4 linked regions of the Alligator mississippiensis genome follow. The protein of the gene in region 3 purifies or fractionates together with the protein of the main gene of each other region. This does not show direct contact. Links are inferred from orthologs where the notes say so. Each region holds a gene or a part of one and is shown on either strand. Other genes may lie near its edges.

Region 1 (7,805 bases), about 190 Mb from region 3:
CGCAGAGCAGTTTCTCACAACAGCCCCAGGGCGGTACGCGCAGCATGGCCACCAGCCACTGCAATTTCTACCAACCTCCCTGCCCTGCCCCAGCACAGCATGCTGAAGAGGGCCTCCCTGCCCTTCCTGAGATGGACCCATTTTCAACCATGCCCTTCTCAATGCAAGAGGGTTATGGATGCAGCCCTGGGGATGAGCGTAAGAACTGCCCACCCCCCCAAGAGTGCAGCCTTTGGCCCAGCTCTTCTCCCTGCCACAGACTCCCCAACTGACTAGAAGCTGGCCCCGACTAATACCAGAACAGTCTCCAAAAACTTCCATCAGGGAGATCATGTGGGCCCCACAGGTTGCTGTCCCCACAGCTGTGACAGCTGCTGCATGTTTGGGACATATGTTGGAAATCCAGCCTCAACCAGTGTGAATTGTCCCCATGGGTAGGGGTAAGCAATGCCCACAGAATGCCCTAATGCAATGGGGAAGATTTCCCAAGGCACAAAGAGGAGGCAGACCTCTCCCAGCAAGACCCTCTCTGCCACCATTGGGTTTCTACCATTCTCATGTCTTACTGGGAAGGGAGCTGGGAGCTGTGGATCCCATTCTTTGTAGAGGGCACAGGAGCTGCTGGCGTACAGCCCCAAGGATTTTCTTCAGTGTCTGCAGGGAAAGGCATCATGACATGGTATGAGCAAGGGAGACAAGGATTTATTAAATTAAAACCAACAGAATGCCATAGCCACAACCTAGTACCCACTGACTGGCACCCCTGGCAATGCCTGTGGGTGTGCTGGCTCCACAAAGCTGCTAACTCCATTGCTAACCAACACTTGCATCCAACCATTCAATTCCTGGTCCCTATTCCAGCATGAGGCTTACCAAAACTCATGCAGTTGCTATCAGTTCCTGCCCAGTGCCCCTTCCCTGACCATGTTCCCAAGGCCTGTAAATCCCAGCTGTGGACTTCCCACACACCAAGAGACATTGCTGGTGAGTAACACAAGCCTAATTCGAGATCAGAGGTGATGGAGCTTCCTCCAAAGCTCATCCAGCTTGTGTAAGGACAGCCACTTCTCTTCATTTTCCAAAGTTCCCATCCCTGTAAATTAACCCAGTGCTTGAAAGCCATCAATGCATGTAGGACTGGAGACACTTTTTGCACAGACCACAGGCTGCACAATGCAATTGTAAGGGGCACTTGAGTAGCTGAAGAGGAGACTAACCAAAGGCAGGAGTTTTGCAATGCTGCATACAGCCATAGTTCTTGCATGGAATCTGGAAATTAAACAGAGACAACATTAAAAGAGTATTTCAGACCTACTCTCAGTTCCCCCAGTGAAGAGAAACATTCACAGGTAACTTAAGATGAACAACATAAAACATAATATCATAGAATCAGAGAAGACAGGCTGGAAGGGACCTCCAGAGGTCGCAGCAAGTTGAACCCCCGGCCTGAGGCAGGAACATCCTTGTCCAAACCATCCCATACAATCCATAATCTAAACTCTACATACGACTTCCCTCAACCCTGACACAACACAAACCTAACACCCTAACCTGCCAAGGGTAAAGCAAAGGAGCCACAGCACCTAATGTTCTATGAAACATTTTCAATATATGCTCCAGAGATCCCAGGTAGAGATCATGGTTGCCTGCTACAAAAGGCAGGCAAAACCCCCCATAGCCCATACCAATCTGACCGGGGGTAAAATGCCTTCCTGACCCTAAATATGGCATTTGTCTGGCCCTGAGCAAAGGGGCAAGACCCTCTAGCCAAGAACCTCCAGCTTTGGTCCCAGCAGGAGCATTGGCACAGGCCAGACAAAGTCCCCAGCCTTGGCTGTAGCCAACAACTGATGTCTCTGAGGAAGACTTAAAAACACCTTGACACATGTAGCAGAAAGCAGGGGTGGGAGCAACCCGCAAAGCCTAGAAACATGGGAAATCTCCATACTGGAATGCAGGCATAGTTATACCTAGATCATCCCTGACGAGTGACTATCCAACCTCTTCTTAGACACCTCTAGTGATGGAGAGTCCACAGCTTTCTTAGCCATCTATGCCACTGTCTCGCTATTCTAACAGTGAAGACGTTTTTCCAAATTTCCAATCTAAATTTATTTTACTGCAACTTCAAGCCAATGGTCCACTTCCTCCTCTCCATTTTCCCCTCTTCTTTATGACAGCCCTTCAAGTATTGGAAGACTGCTATCATGTCCTCTCTTAAGCACTTTTTCCACAAGCTGAACATGCCTACCTCCTTCAGCCTCTCCTCACATGACCTGCTTTCCAAATGCTTGATCATCTAACTTCTCCATGTCCTTTTGGAAATGTGGAGCCCAGAACTGCACACACTACTCCAGATGAGACCTAACCAGTACTAAGTAGAGAGACACTATCACCTCCTGTGTCTTGTACCTAATGCTTCTAATGATGCATTCAAAAAATCACATTCACATTTTGCATGACAGTTCCCAAGTCCTTTACCATAGTGTTATCATCCAACTAAGGGTCACCCATTTTATAATTGTGTTTTTGATTATTCTTGCTGAGGTGTGGCACCTTGCATTTGTCTGCAATGAACTCTTGCCCAGTTCTCTCCTGTTGCCTCTAGCCAGCTTTCCAGTCTGTCGAGATCCTTCTGAATTGCGCTCACATCCTCCAACATATTCCCAATGCTTCCCAGTTTTGTGTCATCCGCAAACTTGCTCAAGAAGCTTTCTATGCCAGAATTCAAATGGTCAATAAGCGCACTGAACAGCACTGGGCCAAAGCCAGACCCATGTAGGACCACTTGAAGCCTCCTGCTGTTCTGATATGGATCCATTAATAATTACCCTTTGTTTGCAGCTATTGAGCCAGTTACCTTATCTACCTTAAAGTAGATATAAGGTTTGTCAGGAAGGATCTACCTGTGACAAACCCATGCTGGTTTCCTTTCAGCATCGTTTCCCCTGCTGGGCCTTCACAAATGCGCTCTTTATTTTTTTCCAGTATTTTTCCAGGGATAGAGGTAAGACTGACTGGCCTAAAGTTACCTGGCTCATCCCTTCTTAAAAATGGGCACCATGTTGGCCTTTTTCCAGTCCTCAGGGACGTGGCCAGAGCACCATGAGAGCTCAAACAGCCATGCCAGCAGCTCACCTATGACACTGACCAATTCCTTCAGCACCTGTGGATGGAGGTCATCTGGGTTCGTACCCATCCAGCCCTTCCCAAGTGCTCCTTAGCTAAGTCAGCACTAACCTTTGGTGGTCTGGTGCCTTTTGGACATCTGTCTATGCTCAAGGTGGGGGAATTGTCTTGGTCAGTATTAAGGAATACTGAAGCAAAGAACTCACTGAAGAGCTCTCTGCCTCTTTCTCTGCGTCAACCACCAACTGACCTGATTTGTTCTGCAGGGGCCCAATGTTACTCTGCGCCTTCCTTTTGCTCACTGTGTGTCTGTAGAAGGACTTTTTATTGTCCTTAATTGTTGAAGCCAGCCTAAGCTCCAGTCCTGCCTTGGCCTGCCTGATTCCCTGTAATAGCGCACCAGGGTGGTCTATGGCTCCTTGGTGGCTGCCCCCTGCTTCCACTGCCTATAAATCTTTTTGCCCCCAGTCTTTCCTGGAGCTCCCTGTTCAGCCAAGGGGGCTTTTTTATCCCCTTAGCCCCTTCTCTGCACAAGGGGATAGACTCCTTTTGTGCCCCAAGGATCACTCCCTTGAGAAACTTCCAACCCTCTTGGACCCCATTAGCTAAATGCTCTTGAGTTCTGCCACCTCACTAACTAGGTTTCTAAGTTGGCCCTTCTAAAGTCTAAAACTTTAGCATCACTGGATATTTTTCTCACCCTTCCCTGGATAGTGAACTGTACCAAGTGATGGTCACTATCACCCAGGTCACTGTGTACTCGCAGGTTCCCCATGAGATCATCCCATTGCTAAGACCAGGTCTAGCAAGGCGCTACCCTGGTGGGACTGGACACTTACAGCGTGTTGGAGCAGACTCGATTCGAGTCTGTTGGGGTGTGCTAATTAACACACTTCAGCCAGCCCCTGCATCTCATGTATCAGTATCCCCACATTTCAAAATGGCAGCGTCGCACTTTAAACCTGTGTGCTGTGAACTTATGCTGTGATGAAGGTAGGCCCCTACATATAGGACATGCCTCGCAGCAGAGAGCAGGCCCAGCTCCTGGGCACTGTAAAGCCACCTGAATGCTGCTGGGTCTGTCCCCACCTGCACCGAGCTGCTGAGGTTCAGCTTTCTCCCACGGTGACTGAGCACCCTGCTTATCAGCGGCCATGAGGGCATGCGGCTGACACTAGATCCTTATTTCCAGCTCTGTATTCCCAGTTCCTTACTCCCGGGAGGCCCGAAATATTTCCCCGGGCCTGCCAGGAGGCAGGCTGGCACGGGTTGGGCTTGCTCAGAAGTGTCGTTGGTGGCCCCCCCCGCGCGCGGAGCAGACGTGTGGCTGGAGGGCCCCGAGGAGGATTTTGTTCTCTACGCCCAGGTTCATCTCAGCTCCTTATTCCGGGCTGGGCACCGGACGTCGTTCTTTCAGTGACTGCAGGGCCCACAGGAAGGCGAGCTGGGCCGTGCACTGTCCCTGGCACTGGGGGAAGCCCCATTCGCTTTGAAAAGGGCCCAGGAACAAGGAGCCGCCTTCAGCCCCGCGGACCAGTGACTTGTACCCGGGCTGCCCGACCCACGCGCTACCCAGGCCCGGCCCCGCCAGGCTCACGAGGAGGCGGCGCCTGGGCGCGGTGCAAGCCGGGAGTGCGCCCGGGCCCGGCGGCGGCATGGAGGTGGCGGGCGCGTGGCGGGCGCTGCCGGCGCAGCCTAGCCTGGCGGCGCTCACGGCGCTGGGCTACGGGCGGCCGCGGGAGCAGCAGCGCGCGGCGCTGCAGGGGCTGACGCGGGCCCACCTCGACTCCTTCGACCGCGCCGTGGCCGAGGGGCTGCACCGCGCCGTGCAGGTACCGGGGCGGGGCGGGGCGGGGCGGGGTGCGGCGCGGCGCGGCGCGGCGCGGGGCCCCTCGGCGGGCTCGACCGGGCTGTGCAGCGCGCGTGTTGTGTCCCCGGCGCAGGCCATCCCGCCGCTGGAGTTCGCCTTCAAGGAGGAGCGCATCGCGCTGGCCATCGTGAGTGCCGTCATCAGCCCCCCCATGGTGCCCAAGGCCAGCATCTGCAAGGAGCTGAAGGTGTACCCGGCCGAGTGCAGGGGGCGCCGAAGCACCTACCGCGGCAAGCTGACTGTAAGTGCCGCCTGCGCCACATGGCGCGCACCAGGCTGGGGAGGGGGCACATCGGGCAGGGATCAGCAGGCAGGGCAGGGAGCAGAAAGCAGAGCAGCAGGTCAGGGGGGAGGGGAAATCAGAGCATTCAGGGAGGTCCAAGGCTATTTTGTGGAACACCTGTCCAAAAGGTTGCCCCCCCATTATTTTAGATAGTACTTTTAAGGGTTAAAAACCATGCTGCTCCACAGTCTGGTACAGTGGTCACCAACCAGTGGATCTTGATCCACCAGTAGATCTCAGAACCTCTTGTGGTAGATCTTGCAGTCAGTTGGAGGCTTGGGTGTGAGGGGCACTAGTTGGCCAGGGGGGCAAGGGACTGTGGGTAGGGCACCGGAAGGGCAAGGGTGGAATGGGTCTGGACAAGCCATCCATCTTGGCAAATGGGTTCCAGTACAAAAAAGGTTGAGAACTGCTGCCCTAAATCATTAGCTCAGAAACATGCCTTAGGCCAGGCATTTTTAGGATCTTTTCTGGATCACCCTGGGGTGAAGGTGAGGTATAGAGGAGGTGCATCCATTAGAAGATATTTCTCTTACAGAATGACAAAGTTAGGGACTTCTGCCTTGTGGTACTGGAAAGTTGACATTCCTGGTTTTCCAATAGTCTTGACCCTTCTATACCTGGTGGGATCAGTGATCATTTGTGCAAGTACCATTTGTGCATATTTTATAAACAGGTGTGCAGAGCATTTCATGAAAAAGTGAGGAGAGTCCATCTTTCTAACAGCATATGAAATGATATTTTCTTTGTAAACAACTTTTTATTTAAGGGGATTGAACATTAAACACATGTTATTCTATTTTTGACTAGTGGTGTTTGTGTCAGCAGAATGCAGGGAAGCTCTTTTTCTTTTCTTTTTTTCCCCTTGCCTAACTGCATTAAATTTATACCATCATCCCATGCACCCTGCATTCTATTTGACCATTTCTTAATCTGTTTGTCTTTTTTGTAGCGTAAAGTAGTCGTAGTTTATAGAGTTTCCCAGATGTGCAAGTATCTCTTTGCCTAACTGGAGTTTCACGTTGTCTCCACTTTTATTGGCCTGTTATTTGTTCCTCTTGATAGTGATATTAGTAATTTCTTGACCACAGCAGCAGTACACCAGTCTCTTTGCTGGTATTAAGAACAAATACTTTTTTTGATTATTGTTTGTGCAGTTATTGTGAAGTGCTGTACAACAGGGTATAGCTTACAGTTATGATAGACAACACTCAGGCTATATAAAGTTTGTCAGTGTGCACCCTGCCAGGGTAGAAACGTGTTGGCAGATCAATACCCATATTTTAACTTTAATTCTTACAGTTGTTAATTTTAGTGTGGGGAGATTATAAATAATAATAATGACTCCATTCACACTGACATTTCAAACCTTCTACTGTACATAACAGAAGAGTTTACATTTTCTCCCCTTATAAGAATAATTTGGCCTTGAATAACTCAAATACGAGGAAGTTTTTAAAAAAACTTGTTAATGCTATCTGATTTGCAGACAAAACATGAGAAGTATTGACTCAAAACAATATGAGCAAATGAAAATGTGATTATATGGAAATCTCAGTATAGCCTTACCTACCAAAAAAATGTTTTTTGTTTGTTCGATTTATATGCCGCCCTTCCCAGCAAAGACTTGGGGCAGTTTACAGTAAGAAGACAGAATAATTTAAAAATAAGAAAGCGACAAGGTGGCCAAAACAGCTCAAAAGAGAACTAGAAAATCAAGATAAGAGACCTTTCAGCACAACATTGCATCCTAGTTTTGCTTGGTGAATGCTTGCCCAAATAGGATGTTCTTACATTGTTTCCAAAAAATGTGCAGGCGTTCCATTCCCCTTCAGTAATATATGTTGTGTACGCATCAGGCTCTGTAGTTTATATAAGGTGTTATAGCTAGCATAGTGTTTCTTTGTGAGAAATGTAACTTTGCTCATTGTTTCTGTACTGAAGAGTGTGTACTGTTGCTTTGTTCTGACATGTTTGTATTTTTACTTTATTAGTAATTTGCTGCATTTCTTCTTAGGCTGACATCAGCTGGTCAGTGAATGGAATTCCAAAAGGGATTATTAAGCAGCCTTTGGGATATGTTCCAATTATGGTGAAGTCTAAACTTTGCAATTTGTATAATCTTCCTCCCAGAGCCTTGATTGAACATCATGAGGAAGAAGAGGTAAGTGGATTTTGATGGGTCTGGAAAAAATGTCTATATGCAGTATTTAAAGGGAATTAGTTTTGAGTTGGCTTAAAGGATTTCAGCTCATCTTTGTAGAAGTGATCTGGCACACTTTTTGAGAATATGCTATTTCTAAAAATTCTATCTTTTCCCTAACAGAATCAAATCCTGGCCTCTAAACTGCTTCAGGTCACTTGACCTTCAGGGCACGTACAGTCCTCATCTCAGTAAGGCAAAATCACAGGTTGAGGCAAGCAAAACCCACTGTCGATATGAAATTTTAGTAGCTTGGTGTGCAGCAGCCTTGACAAGACATTGTTCCTCCCTTTCTGGAAACACAGGACAGCTTGTGTCCT
Region 2 (7,348 bases), on a different chromosome or scaffold from region 3:
CTTTCGGTCGTCTGTCAGTTTCTCTCCAGCAAAGGTTAGGTGATATGTTCTCCACACATATTTCCTGCAAAATCAGAATTCTGTGAGTTAAAGGACAAAAGGAACAGCAGTTAACCACATTAATTAAAAAGTAGGAGCAGAAAAGGGACAAGCAAGATATATGACTCAGTGAGTACAACTGAAGCTTTCTGATCAGCCAGGTCAGGTAACCACTGAATTCCTGGTTTGTGCAGTTTGTCTTTTCACGGTCGTGGTGCTCATCTCAAATTGCAGTGACCAAGCAGCTGGACGTTCAGCCTGTCTCAAATGAATCTTGCACAGGCTTTTCCTAAGCCCCTGAAAATACTTTACTTTACCAGCTAGTCATCAGCAGGCAATTCTTTCAGTTTGATCAAACACCAGCAAAACTATAAAACAGAAAAAATCTCAAAATTTGAGAGTCAAAAAGAAAATAGAATGGTGACTGCTATATGCAGCCCTTACTGCAGAAGAAGAGGGTAGTGCTGAAGTTTAGATTGTCCACAGCACACCTTGCCTTTCTTTGAGAGCTTACCAGCTAACATGCTGTATACCTCCTTCCCGCTCCTGTTTCAGCTGCACATACCGCTGGATGGCTTTCTTCAGGTCCTGGACACTGGCATTCTGTACCACTACTACAGCTGAAGGGGAGAAGACTTGCAATTAATAACACCAGGAGATATGCTCTGAAAGGAGGCAGAGCTCCAGGCCCTACCCTTACCTGCTAGAAGCTGCACTTTATAATAGGAGCTATTTTATGCCACAACCACTCCAGAACCCAGCCTGAAGATGGAACTTAGAGGGCACCAACCCAACTGAATAGCTGAGGAATGAACATGGCTAAGTCTTCCTGTCTGGGTCAGTCTTCACAAAGGAGGTTGCTTTATAGCAGGGGTGGGCAAAATATGGCCTGTGGACACTATCTGGCCCGCAGGGCCCCTAAAAAAAATGTAGAAAATTAAAATGCATTTGTCCTTGGTTCCCATCAAAAATGACAGGAACAAGGGGTAGTAGGACCCAGGGGAATCCTCAGCAGGATCCTGCAACAGCAGGGCCCCTCCGGCCCCGGCCCCCCAGCTGGAAGCCCCAACAGGGGAGGAAGCTCAGGTAAAGGTGGGGAGGGAGGGTGGCAGGGAAGGAGCTGGTGCAGAACGCAGGGAAAAGCGGCCCCTCCCCCACCCCATGGCCAGCCCTCACTACTGCAGCCACTCACAGCATGCATGGGGCTGTCCTGAGCAGGCACAGAGCCCCACACGGGGCTGGCAGTGGGGGCGGGTTACAAGCTGGTCCAGAGCATGGGAAAAGCGGCCCCTCGCCCACCCCCTGCACTGCAGCTGCTCGCCACCCGCCTGGGGCTGCCTGTGCCTGCTCAGGACAGCCCTGCGCGATGTGTGAATGGCTGCAGCAGGGAGTGTGGACCATGGGGCAGACAAGGGGTGGCTCTATCCTGCGCTCCGCACCAGCTCCTTCCTTGCTGGTGAGCAGGGGTTCAGGGCTGTGCGCTCCCCCAAGCCTGTACCATGGGGCTGGGGGGGGGGGGGGGGGGGCACTGGAAATGAGTGGGCGCAGGAACACAGGGCTCGCACCGGTGTCCCAGCAAGGCCCAGAGCAGGGGTATAGGGTTCCAGCTGGCAGAGGCTCTATGGAGCCGGGCCAGCTCCCCCCTCTTCCTGCTGGTGCAGCCCAGCTCCACAGACCCCTGCCAGCCTGCACCCTGTTCTGGGCCCCACCGGTGCTGGCCCTGGGACATCAATCCCAAGACATTGGGACACTGTTCCCAAGATGGTGGCCAGGGGGCAGGGCACCTGTCAAAGGACGGGGCTACCCATGCAGCCCTCGACAGCTTGCCAAAACTGGGTAAGCGGCCCTCCGCCTGAAATAATTGCCCACCTCTGCTTTACAGCCTTTAAGCTCCAACCTCGTACGTTTGATAGAGGCAGGTTTGAGGTGACGGACCAAATGAGAAATCATTACAGAACACTGTCAGTAAGCTGTATTTCTGCCTGCCACCAAGGTAGGGTATTAATCAGGTACTTCACCCAATTACACACCTACTCCTCTGGCTCCTAAGTACTTCAGGGTGCTGGGCTGAGGTTCGTGAAATTGTGCCCCAGCCATCTCAGTCCACTCAATGCACCAAACTGCAACTGCCCACCTTGGATCACATATGTAATTTCTTCTCCACTTGCTAGAAGATGTCACCATATTGTGACAACAAGGTAGGCATTAAGACCAATATCAAAAGACTAGCTTTGGGAACCAGAAATTAATCGCTATTCTCTATCAATAAGGACCTACCAAATTCATGGCATAAGTGGGGTACATGGCAGATCCTTCAATCTTTCATGCTTCCTCGTGTGCCCCTCCCCGCAGTTATTGATTGGCATAGGGAGCACACTGCTCCCTCCTAATTGGTAGGAAATGAAAACCATGGTTTTAATTATGGTGTGGTTTTTGCCTCCCCGCCAGCCAGCAACAAGCATCAGGGCCACTGGGGCCCCTCAGCCAGTCAGCGGCAGGAGGCAAAAATGGTGCCAACTAGGGGTGCACTGATAAAAATTTTTTGGGCCGATACTGATGGCCAATTAGCAACAAGCCACATTGGCTGACACTGATCCAATTGCCAATATACAGCCCAACAGCTCAGAGAGCAGCATCAGGCTGGTAAGTCTGTTGTGGGGAAGGGGCACGGGGGGGGGAGGCAAAACAAGGCCCCCATGGTGAGGGATGGAGTGTGATTGGGGCAAGGACAGGGGCAGACACTGCGTGCACTCCTGGAGGAGGCATAGCGGGGCACGTGCCTCCTGGACGTGTGCACAGTGTGGCACCAGACTCTTTCCAGTGGTGAGGGCCAGGCTGAGGTTACAGGGGGCTATGGCAAATTTTGGGATGGCTGTAGCTCCCCCCTCCCAGCACCACCCATCCTGAGAGCAGCCCAAGCCCAAGCCCCACCCATCAGGCAGAGCCTGACACTGCTCCTGGCCCAAGTGCACAGCAGCAGCTTGCCTTTGCTCTGTGCACAGATCTAGGAGGCATCCCTCCCTTGGGGGTGCATGCAACAGCGGAATGTGACTCCCCGTACACCATCCAGACAAGCCGCTTATGGCGGTCTTGTGCCCTGTCCTGGCTGTGCAGCACCTGCCCCAGCCCCACTCCCTTCTTCACTGTGGGGGCCTTGATCTACCCCCAACCCATTCCCCCCCCCCCCCCCCCCTCGACTTACCAGCTGGATGCTGCTCTCCATGCTGATAGGCTGCGCTCTTGGCCACCTGTGTGCTGTCCTGTGCTGCGCTGCAGCTGTGTGCATGCACGCAGCATGTATTGGCAACATTACTGCTCACAGCAGCCAAAAAAGCCGATTGCCAATAATGTCAGTTTTACGTTTATTGGTGCAGATATGATATGTACCAATATATCACTGCACCTCTATTTAAAACTGCAGTTTTTTCCTAACCACCAACCAGGAGCAAGCTGCAAGTGTGGCCCCTGCACTAATCGGGGGGGGGGGGAACCTGCAAGATTAAGGAGCAGCAGTGCACCCCACTTGTGCAGTGAATTTAGTAGGTCCCTATCTATGGATCTGACCCCAGGTCTGCTTGGCTTTACTACTAGGGTACTACTAGGGCTTTACTGCCTGTCCTGATGCCAAGGGCTTACCAACTAATATACATTTCAGTTAAAGCATCTCCTTCCACTCCATGTCTGTGCGGTCCTCCACTGTTTTCGACAGATGCTGCAGAGCACTCAGACATGCTGGAACTCGTAGGGAACAGGACTGAACATTATCACTGTGCAGGCTCTTCAAGAGCAAGCATATTTAAAGGACTACATGACATAAGACTGCTCCACAGCAGCAGGAGCAAGAAGACAAATGCTGCCCCTGCACAATGCCCACAGGTTAGCATCCCCGTCTCAACACCACGTGTCCCTATGTGCGCGGTGCTCACCCATCCCCACAAAGCCAGCACAGCCAACGTGAGGCCGGGCAGCCGCCAAACAACCCCAGCAAGGGCAGCGCCAAAAGCACTTACGCATCACTTCCTCGTCGGCTTTGCACACGCGCACCGTCATGGCCTGGCCGTACTCCAGCGCGATTTGGGAGTTGATTTCCTCCGGGGTGACCTGTCCGGGGCAGAACAGCGGCCGCGCCCATGAGTCCCGCCCCGGCCGCCCAGCAGCTCCCTCGCTCCGGGCACTCTCGTCGCTTCCCTGCAGCGGTGGGCCGCGCCCCGCACCCGGCCCCTCTGAGCCGCTAGGAAAGGCCGCGACGCCGGGCGCCCTCGCAGCGCGGGGGACGCGGCGCTCTGGACCCACCTGCACAGGGAGGTCGCACAGCAGCGGGTCCTGCACGAGCCTGACCAGCCCCTCCTGGAAGAGCTCCAGCACCTCTGCGTGCGCCAGCTCCTCCTCCTCCTCCTCGGCCTCAGCCTCCGCGCCGCTTCCGTCCGCCGCCGCCATGGCCCGGCCCGCGCGGCGGCTCGTGGCAGCCGAACCTGATCCGCCGGAAGTGGCGGGGCGGGGCGGGGTTCTGGCTGCTTGGCGCAGAGATGCTGCTTTTCTGCCCGGCCTGCGGCAACGTGCTGGTGGCTGAGGAGGGGCCGCGCTGCCACCGATTCGCTTGCACCACGTGTCCCTATGTGCGCAACGTTACGCGCAAGGTAGCGCCCTTCCCCCCCCCAGCGCTGGGTGCGCGCTCGCGTTGCCCGGAGCCGGCGGCGGGGCTCGCGGCGTTGGCCGACACCGTGTAGCAGCCGCCGGCGCTGCGGCCGCTCTTGGCTGCGCCAGGGTGCGGGGGGGGAGTCGATGAGACGCGTGCGGGGGGCCGAGCACGGGGCTGCAGGCGAGTGAGTTTTCCGGGCGCCTCCAGGTGACCAGCAGGAAATACCCGAAGCTAAAGGAGGTGGACGACGTCCTGGGAGGCGCCGCTGCTTGGGAAAACGTGGATTCCACAGCAGGTGAGAGCCGGTGCCGGCCTGGCCTCGTCGGTCCTGCTGCTCATCGCCCCCGCACGAAAGGTGCTGCTGGTGCTTCCTGTCCAGCGGCGCCTTCGGCTTCAGCCCGCTGCCCCACACTGTTCTCGAGCCCAGTGCCTTGCATGCAGGCACGCTGAGCTATCTGCTCTGCAAGAGAAGCCACTGCCTTGAGTAGGTGGGAGGATTAGTCTGCACTGGGCTGCACTTAAGGAAGATGGATCCTGAAGTGATACAAGCTGTGCTTCTTCCACACAGGGACAGTGGGAACTCATGGTGCTGCGAGGGATGGTTCTTGGGCCACAATACTTGAAACAATTGAAGGGTCATGTTTATCCATTCTTCTCTTGCCCACTAAGCTCCACATGCATGCTACAGTGCTGTCTTTCTGGGTCACTAAGCAGTTTGAAATGATGATTCTGAGAAATGTGAACAGCTCCCTCTCTCTCTTGTCATCTTATGGTGTTATTCTAAAGCTTGACTGTGATAATTCACTTGATTTCCTATGGCTCCAAGCAGTAGTGGAGGGTTTTTATGGCCAGCATGTTAGCCACAAACCATGGATTGGCGACCACAGTTTGACAAAATGTCCTAGCTTTGATCATTTTAGTATGATAGTAGTAAGATGAAGAGGCCACAGAAGTGAAGCATGGCCCAGTTGAGAGTGGGACCTAGAAGTTCTTTCAGAAAAGGGAATTGGATTGAATAGAGAAATCTTACCGTTGCTTTTGCGAGTTAGGGAAAATGAATAAAGGGGAAAGAAAGACGAGAAAACAGAGCAGTAATTGTGTTTGGTAGTTGACAAATTAAATGCACGCTCCCTTTTAGAAGTGCTGAATACGACAGTCGTGTACAAAACAAATGTGATGTTTAGATGCAACATAAGATGTTATCTATCAAATATAGATAATTTTGTGTAAAGCCTGCAGCTAGAATCTGCTGTGGATTCAGAAGCAGAGTTTGAAGCCCTACACACATCTTGGCCTGTGAATTGACATAGAAAATGGAATTCATCTCCCTCTCCACCCTGTGTGCCTTATCTTTAATCTGACATGTCTGCCTCTCTCACCTCCTTACAAAAGAGAGAAGACCACCTGACTCCAAAATTGCACTGTGGCAGTATTGCTGGTCCTGGTTGGTTTCATGAAACTGCTGTAATTTCTGTGCTAGTCCTTCTCTACTCCTAGCTCTGAGTGGGACTTGCTTTCTGCTAATCTCTAGTCTGCAGGAGACATGCTGGCCTTTTGGTAGCCAGGGTTATTCAGATCTCCTGCAACTCTTAAGAAACTAGATGGTCCTCACTGATTTTGTTTAATCAGTTGATGTAATGGAGTGTGCTCAAGGACAGGAAATGTCCTGTGTTAGAGATCCTACCCCTAAAGTTCCATTAAGTTTTCTTGGAGCTTAAAGTTGGGCAGATGGAATGTTTACAAAAAAAATCCATCTCTTGGGTTAATGGTTTGTGGAAGGTTGAATTTAAGTAGAACCTACCTACACCCCTCTGTGACATAAGGAAGAATTGCTCTGCCAAGCTCACTTCACTTCTAATGTTTCTTTTTCAGAACCGTGTCCCAAGTGTGAACATCCACGTGCCTACTTCATGCAGATTCAGACCAGATCAGCTGATGAGCCTATGACCACATTTTATAAGTGTTGTAATGCTCAGTGTGGCCACAGGTGGAGGGATTAACTTTCCTATCATATGTGTTAGTTCTTGTTTGTTCAAAACAAAACAAAAAATCCAAAAAAGCATCTCCATCTGGTTTGTTGAATGTGAAATGCTAATTCTAATATAATAAAGGGCTTTGTCTGTCTGTAACACTTTTGGGCAAGTGTGTGCGTGCGGTTTTAAACTGGGCACATTTCTCTCTCCCAGGAGGGAGAAAAAAATGGTGCCAACTTTAAAATCACAGCTTTTGTAGCTGCTTCTCTGCAGCCATGTGGGGCCCCTCCCCCAGTGGAGCTGGGGAGGTAGACTGGGGCTGGGCTGGCCAGGAATGCAGTGCAGTGCAGGCAGGGGGACCAGAAGCGCTGTGCTGTGCAGCAAGGCAGGGAGCAGCGCTGGGGGGGGCCACAGCCCCCCAACATTCACCTTATCACCTGGACCTGCCCCTCCCAGCACTGCCACCTGAATGAGAGGTGGGGTGCAGTGTTGCCAGCCTGGCCCCTTGCACATGCATGGCTGCAGGGACACAGCCCAGCATCAGCTCCCTCCCGGTCAGTGGGTGGTGGGGGGGGGGCAAAGATGGCTGCCTCAGTGTGATGGGGAGGTCCTGGGAGGGGAAGCTGTGTCTGTGTGTGTGGACATGTCTGCGTCTGCACTTAAGTGCGTGTGTGTGCATCTCTGTGCACGTGTGCTC
Region 3 (7,299 bases):
ATACGCTTCTCCTCACCAGCCTGCATAATTATACCCATACAGATATCATTTTTTACTATCTAATGTACAAGTTATATGAAAATTTAGAACCTTACTATGTGTGTTTGACATATAGAAATATAGATTACCATAAAAACTTTTAAAAATGCCTAGTTCTTCTACTGTGTAATTAGCTGGATGGAGCAAACTGAGCACCCCAGATCAATATGCTACTTCCTTGAAAGAAACAACCGCACATCTTTTTTTCACCAAAACTCCTGTAAGGAAAACGTGGATTAACACCAACCACCATTATCTGGGGAAATAATGGTATTAATTAAAATATATGTAAAAATAAAGCATTGTAACTATTTCTAACGTAAGCTAGATCATATCAAAAACACTTGAAGTAAAGAGCAGGACATTCATATTATTGAGAAAAGTCCTGAAAGTACCATGTCAGCTCATATGCCAGAATGTTGCCTGAATTAAGCTAATACCACCCAGAGCATAGCTGCAAGTTGGAAAAGCGTCTAGGCCAGCAGTTCCCAAACTGCGGATCACAACCCCAAATGGGGTTGCAACATCATCAGATGGGGTCATGAGGGTGGGGGGCTGTGGGTTGAGAGTGAAAGGCCATGTTGAGGAAATGGGGCCATGAGTGGGGTCATGCTGAGGAAGAGTCTGGGAAGCACTGATCTAGGCACTGGCATTCACATTAACCAATGCGATTCCAAACCAGAAGTTATATATCCATATCATATCCCTACCAGAGAACGCACACTTCATAAAAAACATGAAATGTTTAATACCAAAACACGCAAGTGTTTAATCTCAAACTTTACAGATATAAATCCTGATCTGCAAATATGTATGCACAAACTTAAAATGAAATGCAAAAATAGTCCCACCGACTGCAACAAAAAATGCAGTTAAATTTAAGTGCATATATAAATATTTATAGTTAAAGCCATAAAAATCCTGCATTACAACTTTATAGTTCTCTATCGCACTGTAGAAAGCATGACCCAACAATTACATAGTGGCATTTAAACAGATTGCATCTTAAAAAAGGTAGTAGACTTTCTAAACAACAAGCTCTATTGGCCTAATAAAGCAATTAAGCAGCATATAATTCAATGATATCATATTAACAAATTGCTTTACAATCATTATGAAGCTTTCAAATATCAAAGGCAATTCACTGGTTACAAGGCTGGAATTTTTGCTTCCTCTCATCTTCTACACCAAGTATGGGAGCATTGCTTTAAGTGAGTGCTGCTTTCCTTTTAGTTACAGATGTTAACATCTAATAACTCCTAACAAGAGCTACATTTTACAGATTCCTGAAATTAATTTAGCTTTATCCAGTGACTAAACAGACAATCTCCATATGTTCCACTTCTAGTTTAGGAGGGAGATTATCAATACTGCTCTCCCTTCTGCACTGTCAGGTTCAAACAATGGAAGACATTTCTTAAAAGTGTGAGAAAATGAAGCCATAAAAATTAGCAGGGGACTTAGGGACCTGACCTACTTTGCTTGCTTTCTGAAGCATATTATATTTCAGTTAGACAATGATGCTTACACCAGAAGCTAATCAACTTGGGGATGGGGTGGGGTTAGCAAATAAGTTCATGATATAAATATACAAGTATGTGCATCAGGGTCTTGGCACAGGCTGCTCTGGGCAGGTAAACCTTCACTGACATCAACCGGACTTCTCTGAGCAGACCCCTGCACCTGTGAGAACAGTCAGCAGTATCAGAGTCCGTGTTTTTGAAAAATGAAAATTAAGATGTTCATATTTAAATAACATAATGCATCTTTCCGCAACAAACACCAGTATGTGGTGCCTAATCCTCTTGCAAAATTGTTACCGTTTCACTGAAAAACACATTGATTCATTTTAAATGGACATTAGGCTTGTAAATTATTGACAGGACATGTGAAAGTATTCTATTGACTTCTCTAGCTGGGGCTGAATTCAAGGGTCAAGGTTTGGCCTGCTTGAGTTGATGCAACTAAAGCCTAAAAAAGGATGAACTGTTCAGCAAGTTAGGAAGGTATTACTAGATGCATTGATTTTAAATAATTTATTTGTAATTACTAATTATATCAGTGGGCTGTAGTAATTTTAAAAAGGCAAATAGGTTATTTTTATAAATCATTCCAGTTCACCATGCAATGTTTTCTTATCTAACAGTTCTGTGCTAACCAGCTGACTTCCTCCATAATTGCTTGTAAGCCTATTCCAATCCTTCTTTTCCTGAAATACTTCATCAGCTAATACAGCACCAAGTAGAGGGAGACAGGACTCCCACTACTACTCCTCAGAAAAGTTATGGTAGTAGTGCTTTATTAAGCCACACTAATGTTCCTGAAAGGAGATGTATACACCTTGGCTCCATTTTGAGGAAATTTGTTTTAACAAAGCACAGCAACATATGGCACCAGCATCTTTATTTTGAAAGTGGGTAGGGATGCTAACTCAAACCATCTGATGTTTCTTCCTAAGCCTCCTTATCTGCTGTCAGATTACATGCTTAGGGTAAAACATCAGCAAGCCAAAAAGAAGTGGGAAGAGGCATAAGCATCAATCAATCAACTTATTTAATGAGATGAAGAGTCTAGCTCAGAATAATTTCCCTTTTTAACAGAAGGCCAAACACACACATTTATTTTCAGACACTATCATCAACCATATCCTGGGGTTAATCCGTAACAGACATTTTTACTTTGTAGAAAGACAAAAATAAACCCACATTGTAATGTAATTAAAAAAGGAATTAAACAAGGCTCAGAACTGCTTAATAGTGGATTTCTACTGAAGTAAACAATCCAATGGTATATACATTAGCAACACAGTAAAAAAAGTCACAGAGGACTGTCATATTTGCCATGGGCACATCCAAAATTACCAGTTCGCTACACTGCTGATTACTAACTTTTCATCAAGAGCAAGAATGACTCTGAAGTATCCCTTATTACAGATTTTTCACAGATAGAAACTAATGAATAAAAAATAGGGCCTTTGTTAGAGAAGAGAGAGTGAAATTTACTCTTCTGAAATAACTGTCTATTATAGATGCTTCGAGGTGTACATTTAGCTATGATTTGCTATGGTAGGGTTGTGAAACACATAACCTGAACCCAACTCCTATAACAGGGGCTTGCTTGCAGCTGTTCTTTCTTCCTCCCACACACACAGTAATTCAACTCCTCCTCAGCCCTTAGAACTCTTTCATAAAATTACATCCGAGCGGCATACACGTATTTCAGTAACAGGCTGAATAAATACATCCGCAGTCAATCCCTCGTACACAAGCCGAAACACAAATATCAGTTTTGTTGCATATGCAATTTAGGTTTCAGTGCAGCCTTCAGCATATAATGACAGCTCAGGTTTGGGAAAAGAATAGCTGTAGCTCTTCCAGCCTGCAGCTGCAGCCAGCAAATACCCACTCCCCTCCCTCTGAGCAAGTGCAGGACCAGAACCACCATGAAGAAACCTCATTTCTGTGCTGGAAAGGAGGAATGGCAATAGGCTAGGAAAAAAAGGATGAACCCTTTTTTCTCCTCACACCTCTGCAACCATGATGCTGACTGCGCCTGGAGCAATGGTCAGGGATGCAAAATAAAGGGGGGGGACTTTTTTTTTTTTTTTTTATTCCCGGCACAATATTAAATGTCAGACTGGCAAACAACAGGGAGGCAGTCCTGTTTATTCAGGGCTTCTCCCCCTGACCGGAGCCCAGCGTGGGAAGGGTTCCGGCTCGGGGAGCACATGCGGAGGTGCCTAGAGGGGACTCGCCCTCCCCCCGCCGGCGGCAGCCGCCTGCCCCTGCCCGCACCGCGGTCTCCAGAGCAAACTTGGCTGCGCCCGAGCCCGCCCCATGCTCCTGCCCGCCCCACACTTGTTGCAGCGCCCGCGGTCCTCCGGCAGCTCCGGCCTCCCCGCGCGGGCCAGGGCGATGCCCTTGCTGGGGGCCGGGCGGGAGAAGACGCCCTAAGCCGAGCCGGGAAGTTACTCACCGCCACGGATGGCTCGTCCGCCCCGGGCCCGGGGGCAGCTGTCCCGCACTGCGCGGCCGCCCCGGCCCCGGCCCCGGCCCCAGGGCGTGGGGGGGAGGAGCCGCCGCCGCCGAGCCCCGGCCACCAGCGAACCCCGGGCAGGAGCCGACGGGCCGGGGGCGGCACCGGGGGGCGGGGACAGCCGGGCCCCGCCCCCATCGGCGCACGTGGCAGCGTCGCCCCGCCCGCGGAAGGGGGCGTGGCCCGGCGGCACCCCGCCCCTTCCCCGGCCGGCCTCGCGGTGCTGCAACCGTCCGCGGGGGGAAGGGCCGCCATGGACGAGGACCCGGAGCTGGAGCGGTGAGAGGCGGCGTTGGGGGCGGGCGGGCGCGGGCCTTGCTCCTGCTGGCGCGGGGCCCCGTCCTCTTCCCCTTCCCCTTCCCCGTGTGGCCCGCCGCGGACGCGGGGGCCTGCCGCAGCTCGGGGCCGGCGGCTCCGCGGCCTGTGCCGCCGGGCGAGTGAGGCCTTCTCCTGTCTGTTTGTGTCTTCCGCAGACCAGCGAGGCCTGCTGCGCGCGGGCGCGGCTGGGCGTGGAGGGCACGAGGGGAGGTGGAGGTTCCCTCAGGGGAGTGCGGAGCGGCCTGGCCGGCACAGGCTCGCGGGCCGCGTCTGCCCGAGGTTGCTCCTGTCGCCCTTGCAGCCTCCGGGCCGGGCCCCGCGCTCCCTGGTCCTGGTGCCCTTTGCTTTCCTCCCACAATTTGTCCAGGCCCTTTGTGAATGTGGCTGAACTGTCGGCTTCCCCCGCGTGTGAGGGCAGCAGGTTCCCACTTGCATGACTTGCTGTGTGAAAAGAAACTTGGTTTAATTGGTTTTGAACTCGCAACCTGCTAGCTTCATTCTGTGACTGTCTAGTTCCTGTCTCGGGAGAGTCGATGATCTGTCCCTGGTACTGTCTGTTCACCATTTACTGGTCTGTAAATCCTTCTCGTGCCCCCTGCTGCAACCAGCTCTTTTCTAAATTGAATAGGCCTAGGCTCTGTAGTCTCCCCCCTTGGGAGAGCCCCTCCATACGCTAACCATCCTTATTGCTCTTCTCTGGGCCATCTCTAGTTCTTCTGCCTCCGTTTTGAGGTGTGAAAACCAGAACTGGGCACTGCATTCAAGGTGTAGATGCACCACGGATTTATAAAGCGGCATAAGGACACTTTCTGTTTTGTTTACAATTCCCTTCTTAATAATCCCTCGCATTTTGTCTGCCTTCTTGATGGCACCAAGCTGATGTTTTTATCCAGCTGTCCACAATGAAAGGAAATGTTCTGCCCTGTCATCATGGTCTTTGCAGTAGAAAAATGGCTCTGTTATTTTTTGTAGTCAAAGAATGCGAACATAAGCGTTGGCATTTTCTGAGAGATTCTTTGCGTCTAAAAAGGTTGAGAGCTGCTGCTTCAGGTGTCCTGACCCTAAAAGTGAGTTCGCTGTAGGCAGCCCGCTTGTTATCTATCCTGCTGCATTCTGGAGAGCAGTGTATTGGAGAGGGCATTCAGGTTTTTAATGAGAAAAAGATATTGCTGAATTCTGAACTTGACTGTAGAAGTGACCTGTGTTACCTGGAGGGCTGTTTCACTCCACCTACCTGATCCTGATTCCCTGGCTTGGCTATGATTAGGCACCTATTGAATTCGGGATTTTCAAGAAAACCGCAAATTCAGTTGGTCCCCGTGAAAAAGCACAGGGACTGAGAAAAGGTACAAAATCAGCAGCAAGTTGGGCGGGGTGGGGGGGAGGGCGGTTGCAAAACCAGAAAAGGGCGGGAAGCCCTGGCATCCTGAAGCAGGGTGGGGGGGCAGGGGGAAATTTTTGCAGTGGAGTGTGGTGGGCTGCTGCCCCCTACATGCCTCTGATTGACTGAGGGGGCCCTGGAAGTCTTGGCAGTCCTGGAGACTAACAGATTGCCATCTATCAATTTTCAGGAGCAAGAGGACTTCCAGGGCCCCTTGGCCAATCAGAGGAATACGGGGTGGAGGGTGGCACTGCAGAAATGGCGCCTGGCCCTGTACTCAAACTGCAAAATCAGATAACAACTGCCACAAATTCAGTAGGTCCCTAGCTATTATCTACCCCCACTTTACTCTATCCATTCTCTGTCTTGTATCCTGTGAATAGTGAGGTAATTAGCCGTGTTAGTTTGAAGTCAGGCAGAAGACAAGGTAGATTTGCACTTCATAGACTAACTGTTCTAGTCTATAAGGTGCAAATCTACCCTGCCTTTTGTATTCAAATCACTCTCACTATTTTTACATAGACTGCTGTGTGCATGTCCTTTCACAGCACCTAATGAAGTATGCTCAAGCTTATGAAAGCTTATGCATCTCTGGTGTAATTAGCTCTACTCTGCCATCTACCTGACTTAACAGTAACATGTCTAAGTACAAGTACCTCTCTGTGATCTAGCAAAAATAACACAACCATCAAAGGTGAGAGAGGTATGCACAGGAGACTAGTCTTGGCAATATTATTCTTGAGGGGTCTATGAAGAAACATGTGTGCATTAAGAATACAGCGCAGAGAGAGATTTTTAGTCCGTTGAGGAAATGTACTCCTGTACAATGAATAAATAAAAATCAAACCTCCATACAGAATGAAGAAAAACGGGGAAAGGATGTCTTCTCTGTTCACTGTAAAATACTAGTGATGCATACTGATAGCTGTTCTAGCCAAGCTTTGGAAATCTAATTGATCATAATGCAGATTGAAAATAAGCTTCGGGTTTTTTAGTTCAAATAAAAAAAAAAAAGCCTAATACCCTGACTTTTTATTGATGGATGCGCTAATAGATAGTTAATGTCACCCTGTCATAGTGTTGTGGCAAAATTGACTGCAGTCATTTTATCAGAGAATAAAGTGACTGCTATTCTGCATTTGGTTGGGATGAGATATTCATTCTGCTTTACATATTGAATTATGGCACTTCCAAGAGAGTGCACTGAATATAAATGTATGTTTATTTGACTATCCAGTCATAATAGGTCTCTTACTTTTTGGTTTGGAAGCAGCCTGCATGCGCTTACCTCCTTGGTGAATCTTGTTGGCATTACACACTTTATTGTGAGATTGCCTGGGAAGAAAGACTACATAGTTTACAGCAAGTTATCAACACTACAGCTATGCAGAATATGATAGAATCATATCTGAGATGACAGTCTAATGATATTCCTGTTAACCGTCATAAAACAATTACAGCATGGTCCGGGGCAATGCAGGCTTCCTTCACTGCCCTGCAAGCACAACTTGCACTTGAAGGCCTTC
Region 4 (6,883 bases), on a different chromosome or scaffold from region 3:
GCCGAAGTGGCAGTGGGGGAGCGGGAGCAGGCCTGGGCCTGGCCTTAGCCGAAAGAGGAGGCGGGGAAAAGGCCCCAAGTAGCAAGGGGAAACAGCCACAGCCCCAGCCCAAGGCAGTGGGGTGGGGGGCTGGATGCAGGCCTCTGTCCCCCCATGCCACTCCAATCATTTTTGATGGGCAATTTGCTAGTTAATAAATATTTTTGGTACTTTGCTTTGAAATTCTGCTGAACATAGTATTTAAAAAAAAATGAAAAAATGGTGCATACCTGATCACTTTAGATTTTCAGATTAACCCATAACACAAATTTGATTATAAAATTATCTAAACACCACTCAAGAATTAATTGACCATGACATTCTGTAACATGTACGTGTGACGCAATAGATTATTTGCATGAAAAATGTTGTTTTTTTTAAAAACTATTTTAGCTACTTTGGATTTTTTTTTAACAAACTCCAAGGTAAATCATGTTAAAGTTCCGTTGTTAATAGGATCCATAGCTATATACAGTCTAAAATAATTTTATATTTAAGAGACAGGAAGACGTTTAGATTTAAGACAAGACATTCAGTGTTATCATGTAGTCTTTAAATAAATGTAAGAAAAATAATCATAATCTTATCACTGAACCTGTCTTTAGTCAGACGTCCCCAGATGAAGAACATTCCAGCAGCATCAGAATCTAAGCGAGAAACTTCAAATTCCAATGTATCTCCTATTTTTAACCCAAGGTCTTGCTGTTGTTCAGCTGACACACAATCGTGTTTAGGGACGGAAGCATTGAAACATCCATGTACCAGACAGCCAATGTGACTAGGGACAATTTTATTGATCACACCCTAAAAAAAGAAAGAGATCAATCAAATTTGATTCAGGTTTCACATTTGCTAATACAATGGTTCTTGACATTTGATTTAGTAAACCAATCCCAGGTGCCTGGCACTGTCTCTCCCCTGCCAGCCTGTCTCCTTTCCAGCACCATGCACAGCTCCACAGTTTACTTCCCATATGCTCCTCTTCCCAGCAAGTTACTGATCCTAAAGCTAGCTATCCACACAGAAGTAGTGTAGCAGTGTTTACCCAGTACTGAACCTGAAGAAATTGGTAGGTAGTCTCTCAGAGGAGCTATTTAGCACTGCATTAAGACAGCTCTCTGCCACATCTAATCTCAGTTTAAATTCTACCTGAGGCTGCAGCAATGTTTTTAAAGGGGGTTAAGGGTCAACTGAGACTTTGCATCCCTCACAGATGCTTTTGCAGCATCTCAGCAATGCACTGGTTGAGAGCTCCTTTTTTCTTTTCACTTGTGCCTACATTTTAAATCTGCTTGGAGTTTTCTGGATGTTGACTTCTGCACATGTAAGAGTTTACACATACAAAGCATGCAATCAATTTGTATGACACACAGCCTTCACAGCTGTAAATACTCAAGTCACTTCTAAGATTTGTTTGTTTCTTTGTCTTTCAAATTACAAAATGCAAAATTAGGATGCTTAACAGCAAAGAAGAATATGCTAAAATGTCAGCCTGACCTTAGTAAGTACCTACACATATAATAGGATCTTAAAATGCCACAACCCACAAGAATCTCTCATGATCAGGCATGCTAAGAAAGAATATGATAGACGACAAAACACAGACAAGAAAAAACATTTTCAAACCTGTCTGAGATGCATGGTACATTAGGAAAGGAAGCAGGTAATGTGCCCTGCTTACGAAAAAGGGTTCTAAAAACTGTACTTTCATAAAGATTAACTGTGACTACTGCTGTAGTCATGTTTCTATTTAAATGTTCCATTCATAGCCACATAATTCTACTTTCAATGCTCTTAAAGTAGAATTTTCTTTCATGCTTTGAAAACAACATGTTTATTTTGCCATTAAGACTTTGGATGTGGAAGTGGTCAATTTGCTAAATTAAAGTGAACTGTTTAACACAGTTCTGTGCCTATCAGCAAGTTAGTATCTCGATCTACTTTTACACATACATCTGCAGAAGTACTGGCAGGGGCATCTCTGAAAACCACCCTTCCACATGGCAGAGATTCATGGCTCGTTATTTGAAATACTCCAGAGCAAAACCTGGTTTTTGTGCCAAAAAAGGGCACACAGGTACTGCATGACCCTGTTCCAATGACAGAATCAAACAGATACTGCTATCTGGCTCCTAACAGGCCTTCGGGGGAAGATGCATCTACACTTCATGCGTTAAATTAACAGCATCTTAAAACCCAAAAGGTAAACCTGTCTCCTGAGGTAGCTCCAGGTGCAAGATAAACACAAGACCTTAGGACAGGGGGAGGCCCAGGGCAGTACAAGCAGCCTCCACATGTCAGCCTGGGGAGGGAACAGGGAGCAAAGCAGCAGAGCAGGCAGGGAAGGAGGGCAGGAGGAGGCACCCCCACCCCCTGCCAGCTTCATCCATTTCCCCAGAGTTGGCCCAAGCTGAAATTCAGTGGGTGCAAGAAGCACCCGCGCTGCTGTCACCTACGTACCACCAGCCTGGTCCCTTTCTGGGGCATGAAGACCACGAAGTCGGCTTCGATGTGAAGGTGGATGGAGCCCTGGTCGTCGTAAATGTCGCCCAGCGCCCCCACGATCTTCACGTGGCTGTAGGCCAGCGGAACGCCTCCCAGGCTGCAGGAGCAGCAGGACAGTGAGACAGCGAGTGGTTTAAGCCTCCCTCCCTCCGCCCATCCCTGCCCTGCCCCGCCCCGCACCTGTCGCAGTAGCGCAGCAGCCCGGCGTCCAGCTGGTCGCGGATGCCCGTGAGTTTGCGGCGCAGGAAGCGCGGCGCCAGCGCGATGTGCCTGCGATGTGGCACCACCACCAGGCACGAGTAGCGACTCGGCACCAGGTCGCAGGCCGCCACGAAGGACGGCACCGCCAGGCCGGGCGCTGGGACCGGGGACTGCGCGGCCGCTGCCATGGCCCTACCGCGTGCCGCTCATCCCGGCGCATGGCAATGACGTCACGCGCCAGGCCTCCCAGGGCGCCGCCCCCAGGAAAGGGGCCGGAAGTGCGGGAGGAAGAGCGCATCTTCCAGGTGTGCGCGCGCACACTCGTGAAAACGCCGAGTGCGGCGCCGCTTCCTTGGGCGGGCCGGCGGAAGCGTTTGTCATCCGGGCTCCCTGCGGTAGGAGGGGAGGGGGCGGGGCTTTGGGGCTCAGCGCGGTGATTGGCTGGAGGTGGATTCCTGGGGGAGAGACAATGCTGCGCGTGGGCAGCGGGCGGAGCGCGGCCCCTAGCGGCGGGCGGGGGCGTTGCAAGGCACCTCTTTCCCCCGGGGTAGCCAGAGCCCTGGGCTGGCCCCAGCTCATAGCAGCCAGGGCTGGAGGGGCCCCTGGGTGGTACAGGCCTGACTGTGCCTAATGTCAGATGATGCAGGGATGAGGGCTGGGAAGGCCCCTGCCACACACTGTGTATATTATGCAGTTAATGGAAAGTCACATTAAAGTCCTCATCTCCCTATGAAAAGGTGAGGAGAGGGAACGGGCTACAGAGTTAGTGCTCGACAAGGTGTCACGACACTGTCCATCCTCTGAGCATGGGGCAGGGCCCAACATGCCCTCGGGACCCTGCTGTCGCTGCGCCAGGCCCAGCCAGCAGGGCAAAGGACAAGCCACCTGGAGGCTGTGACTGGCCCTCGGTGGTTTTGGCTCCTTCCAGTTAGCTCCAGAGCTCAGCCTGTGCTCAAAGGTGAGAGCCGCCAGGCTCAGCCGCGTGCAGCCTGGAGCCCCTCTGAAGGGGGCTGTGGGGGCCCGCGCAGGGGTAGCGCTGTCAGGGGCGCGTGCGTCATTCACGGGATGATGGGATCTCCAGGGACAAAGCCATCTTAGCGGTTGTGTCAGCACCTCCTTGGGAAGCTCTTGCTGAGGCTGTGGCTGCGCTACCCCCTGCACCTTTTGCTCACGTGTTCCCTGCCCGTGGCCCTGCCAAGTCCGGGGACATCCTGGCCAATGTGCTCTCCTAAGCTGGCCACCTGTACGACTAGGAAGGAGACTGTGGCTGGGGGATATCTTCCTGTCCCATACCCATTTCTGCGTTCTGGCAGACATTCACAGGGTGATGTTCACGGGCTCCTTGGATTCATTCGGGCGTGAAAATAATAAGCGAAAATAACTGACATTTTCTGAGGGGTGCCTCAACTTTATTGAGGGGTGCTTTGAGATGAAAGGATTGAAGAACACTGGAATAGAGGCTGAACTCTTTGAGCTGTGCAGTGTTTTAATCCTTAAGGGGAACGAAGTGGGACTAGGAAGGTTTGTGTAGAAGCACCTACATTTTCCTAAGTAGAGTTACTTAATTACCATCTAACTCTGGGGATACCTAATCTATAGAGTTGCCCTTTTTGCTGTAGTTGACCAGAGTTATATCTCTCTGCTTATCCAGAACTGTCCAAGTGTGGACAGAACTGAGCAGCTTGGGTCATCTGTTGCCTGCCTTTGAAAATGCCTGAAGTCTGTAGATGCCTTGACACATGGAGAAAAGCACCTTTGGAGCAACTTCAAAAGCAGAGTGGGGAGCCAGTTCTCAGGAGTGCAGTAACTGTTACAATGTAAGTGCTACATGTGTCTGAGCCCCTGAGGATGCACATACTACTCTAGTTTTAATCCTGCTTCACGCAAGGTAAAGTTGAGGTTGATTTAGCTGATTTATGTCACCACAACCTCATTCTCAGGTAACAGTACAGCATAAGTACTGTTGTGTGGTCCTGATCAGATGTTCCTCCCCGCTTTTGAAGCTGCTCCAAAGTATATATTTGTCTATATCAGTGGGTGTCAATGTTTTTTTAGATTTGAGGCACCCCTCTTTGACTAGAGCAGTGATTCTCAACCAGGGTGCTGCCAGATCCTTTGAAGGCTGCCTGGAGGTGTGAGGAGATAAGCAGCAAAGTGCAGGCTCAAGCTTGTCCCTGCCTGGATGATTCCTCATGCCCACTGACCAACCCTTCCAGGGAGGTAAGCACTGTAAAATAGAAATTAGTTTTTGAAATGGGTGGTAACAGAGGGAACGGAGGTGGTCCAGCATGATTGTAATGGGTAAAGAGATGCAGACAGGCATGCGGGTTCTCAGTATGAGTATTGTAATGGAAGTTCGATGTTGTAAAGGTGTTGTAAAGGCCCCAGAAATGAAATTTTATTAAAAAAAAAAATTTTGTATATGAAGAAATAAGAAAGTGTTGCCAAGAGTGTCTGTCTGGACTACCTGTGCCAAAGCTTGCAGCAGCTTGCACTAAAGGTGAAATGCATTATATCCAGATGAACTAAGTCTGTAGGTACCCAGAGTAATTTGCCAATATAAAAATTACTATAGGCAAATTTGTTTCAAAGATAGTGTTTATTGGTCATTTGTGTCTGAAATATCCTCTCACTTTTACATGCTCCAAAAGCAACCACAGCCTGAGCAGGTTCTCATATGAAGGCTGGGAAAGGTACTGCATGGGCAAGAATTTTTGGGGTCAGAGAGCAAGGAGCACCTGCCCCACCGCGCCACTGTTTTACCTTCTGTATCCTTAAATGGTATGGCCTTGCCCTACAGGGAGAAGCTGGATCAGGGGCTTCCTGCCTCATTTGCATATAACTGTTTGGAGGGTCCAAGGACTCATGACAAGAACAAAAGGTTCCAATTGTGTTGGCAGCTAATTAGCACATGGATCCTTTGTTGCGGGTATCTGGAGTACAAACACATACTGAGCAGTGCTAGGCTCTGGGGTTACCATGGCCTGAAATGCTGGTGACTCAGCTGTGAGCTGTTAGGCTTTGGAGTACTATCATTCCTTGCCTGAGCTGCAGATAGAGAAATTCAAAAGTGCTGCTGATCATAATAAGTGTGTTTCTGGACTGCCTGTGCTGATGCTTGCTGCAGTTTGCACCCAAAGGGGGACACATCACTTCTGGATAAACTAAGTGTATATATACCCAGAGTAATTTCCTTATATCCAAATTTTTAAAAGCATGTTTATTTCAACATTGGGGTTTTTTGGTCCTTTATGATTTAAATTTGCCCCTCACTTATACATACTCAGAGTTGGAGCAGAACCTGAGCAGGGTCTGATGGTAAGTGCAGGGAAGGTGCTGCAGGGGGAAGGAGTGGAGGTTGGGGTTGGTGAGGGGGAGAGGGCAAGGGGGCCACTTGAATCTCCAAGGCCACCATTTTCCTGCTATAGTCTTAATAGTATGGCCTCATAGGGCATTTGTCCACTTACATTTTCATGCTCCAGTGTGCAGGACATCTGGCATGTCAGAGCAGACTCAGTTAATCAGATCTGCTCCAGACATGAGCTGACACGCATTGCACTGCGTCACGTGGTTGTATAAGTGGTGAAATACGTGTCAGCATGCAGAAAATGGCTGTGGTGCATTTCTGAACTACAACACCTTTGATGTGTTTTAGTTCAAAAGCATACTGCCACCATTTTCTCAGAGCTGAGGTGCATTTCACCGTTTATACAAATGTATGTGCCGCAGCACCAGGCACTTTTAAAAGTGTGTGGCACTTCAGTGCCAGCATGTGTACAAATGCCCTCAAAGACCAGCAGACTCTTCTTACACCTGAGGAAGGGCACTTGTGCCTGAAACTTTGCTTGCAAGGAACAATTTTTCCAACTATCCAGGTGGACTAATAAAAGATATTACACTTACCCCAAAAAAACTTGTCTGCCTAAGAAGATTGTAAAATTTGTGAATCAGTACAGGATGCAGATGCTGGCTGAGATAAAGTTGGTGGACCATAACAAGAATCAAGGGCTGAGTGAGGGAAAGGCAGACTGTGGGTGCATCTATATGTTCATTATTGTGCAGCAGATACTGCACATTTTGTTTAGTATTTGCTTAATGAAGTACTAACTAAATGCGTAGTAACTACAGTTACTGCTCA

Evidence for each region.
Region 1: the proteins of protein POLR1D (region 3) and POLR1B purify together in Homo sapiens (affinity purification with mass spectrometry; 5 studies listed by BioGRID and IntAct, with this or other methods). This does not show direct contact. The link is inferred for Alligator mississippiensis from reciprocal best matches to the Homo sapiens genes POLR1D and POLR1B.
Region 2: the proteins of protein POLR1D (region 3) and POLR3K purify together in Homo sapiens (affinity purification with mass spectrometry; 3 studies listed by BioGRID and IntAct, with this or other methods). This does not show direct contact. The link is inferred for Alligator mississippiensis from reciprocal best matches to the Homo sapiens genes POLR1D and POLR3K.
Region 4: the proteins of protein POLR1D (region 3) and POLR1F purify together in Homo sapiens (affinity purification with mass spectrometry; 3 studies listed by BioGRID and IntAct, counting the BioPlex papers as one, with this or other methods). This does not show direct contact. The link is inferred for Alligator mississippiensis from reciprocal best matches to the Homo sapiens genes POLR1D and POLR1F.

The regions. Positions count from the first base shown.
Region 1 is NC_081824.1:243,008,091-243,015,895, reverse strand, and holds the start of POLR1B (DNA-directed RNA polymerase I subunit RPA2), read left to right. Parts: upstream 1-4,774; 5' UTR 4,775-4,784; coding exon 4,785-4,961; intron 4,962-5,072; coding exon 5,073-5,240; intron 5,241-7,299; coding exon 7,300-7,446; intron 7,447-7,805. UniProt on the Homo sapiens protein: Catalytic core component of RNA polymerase I (Pol I), a DNA-dependent RNA polymerase which synthesizes ribosomal RNA precursors using the four ribonucleoside triphosphates as substrates.
Region 2 is NC_081836.1:21,216,955-21,224,302, reverse strand, and holds POLR3K (DNA-directed RNA polymerase III subunit RPC10), read left to right. Parts: upstream 1-4,508; 5' UTR 4,509-4,565; coding exon 4,566-4,676; intron 4,677-4,885; coding exon 4,886-4,973; intron 4,974-6,550; coding exon 6,551-6,678; 3' UTR 6,679-6,807; downstream 6,808-7,348. Other genes in the region: SNRNP25 (U11/U12 small nuclear ribonucleoprotein 25 kDa protein), read right to left, coding at 1-64, 554-659, 4,050-4,140, 4,333-4,476. UniProt on the Homo sapiens protein: Core component of RNA polymerase III (Pol III) which synthesizes small non-coding RNAs using the four ribonucleoside triphosphates as substrates. Can mediate Pol I proofreading of the nascent RNA transcript.
Region 3 is NC_081824.1:428,177,619-428,184,917, reverse strand, and holds the start of protein POLR1D, read left to right. Parts: upstream 1-4,245; 5' UTR 4,246-4,327; coding exon 4,328-4,353; intron 4,354-7,299.
Region 4 is NC_081828.1:161,473,069-161,479,951, reverse strand, and holds the start of POLR1F (DNA-directed RNA polymerase I subunit RPA43), read right to left. Parts: upstream 3,003-6,883; 5' UTR 2,934-3,002; coding exon 2,725-2,933; intron 2,642-2,724; coding exon 2,500-2,641; intron 844-2,499; coding exon 635-843; intron 1-634. UniProt on the Homo sapiens protein: Component of RNA polymerase I (Pol I), a DNA-dependent RNA polymerase which synthesizes ribosomal RNA precursors using the four ribonucleoside triphosphates as substrates.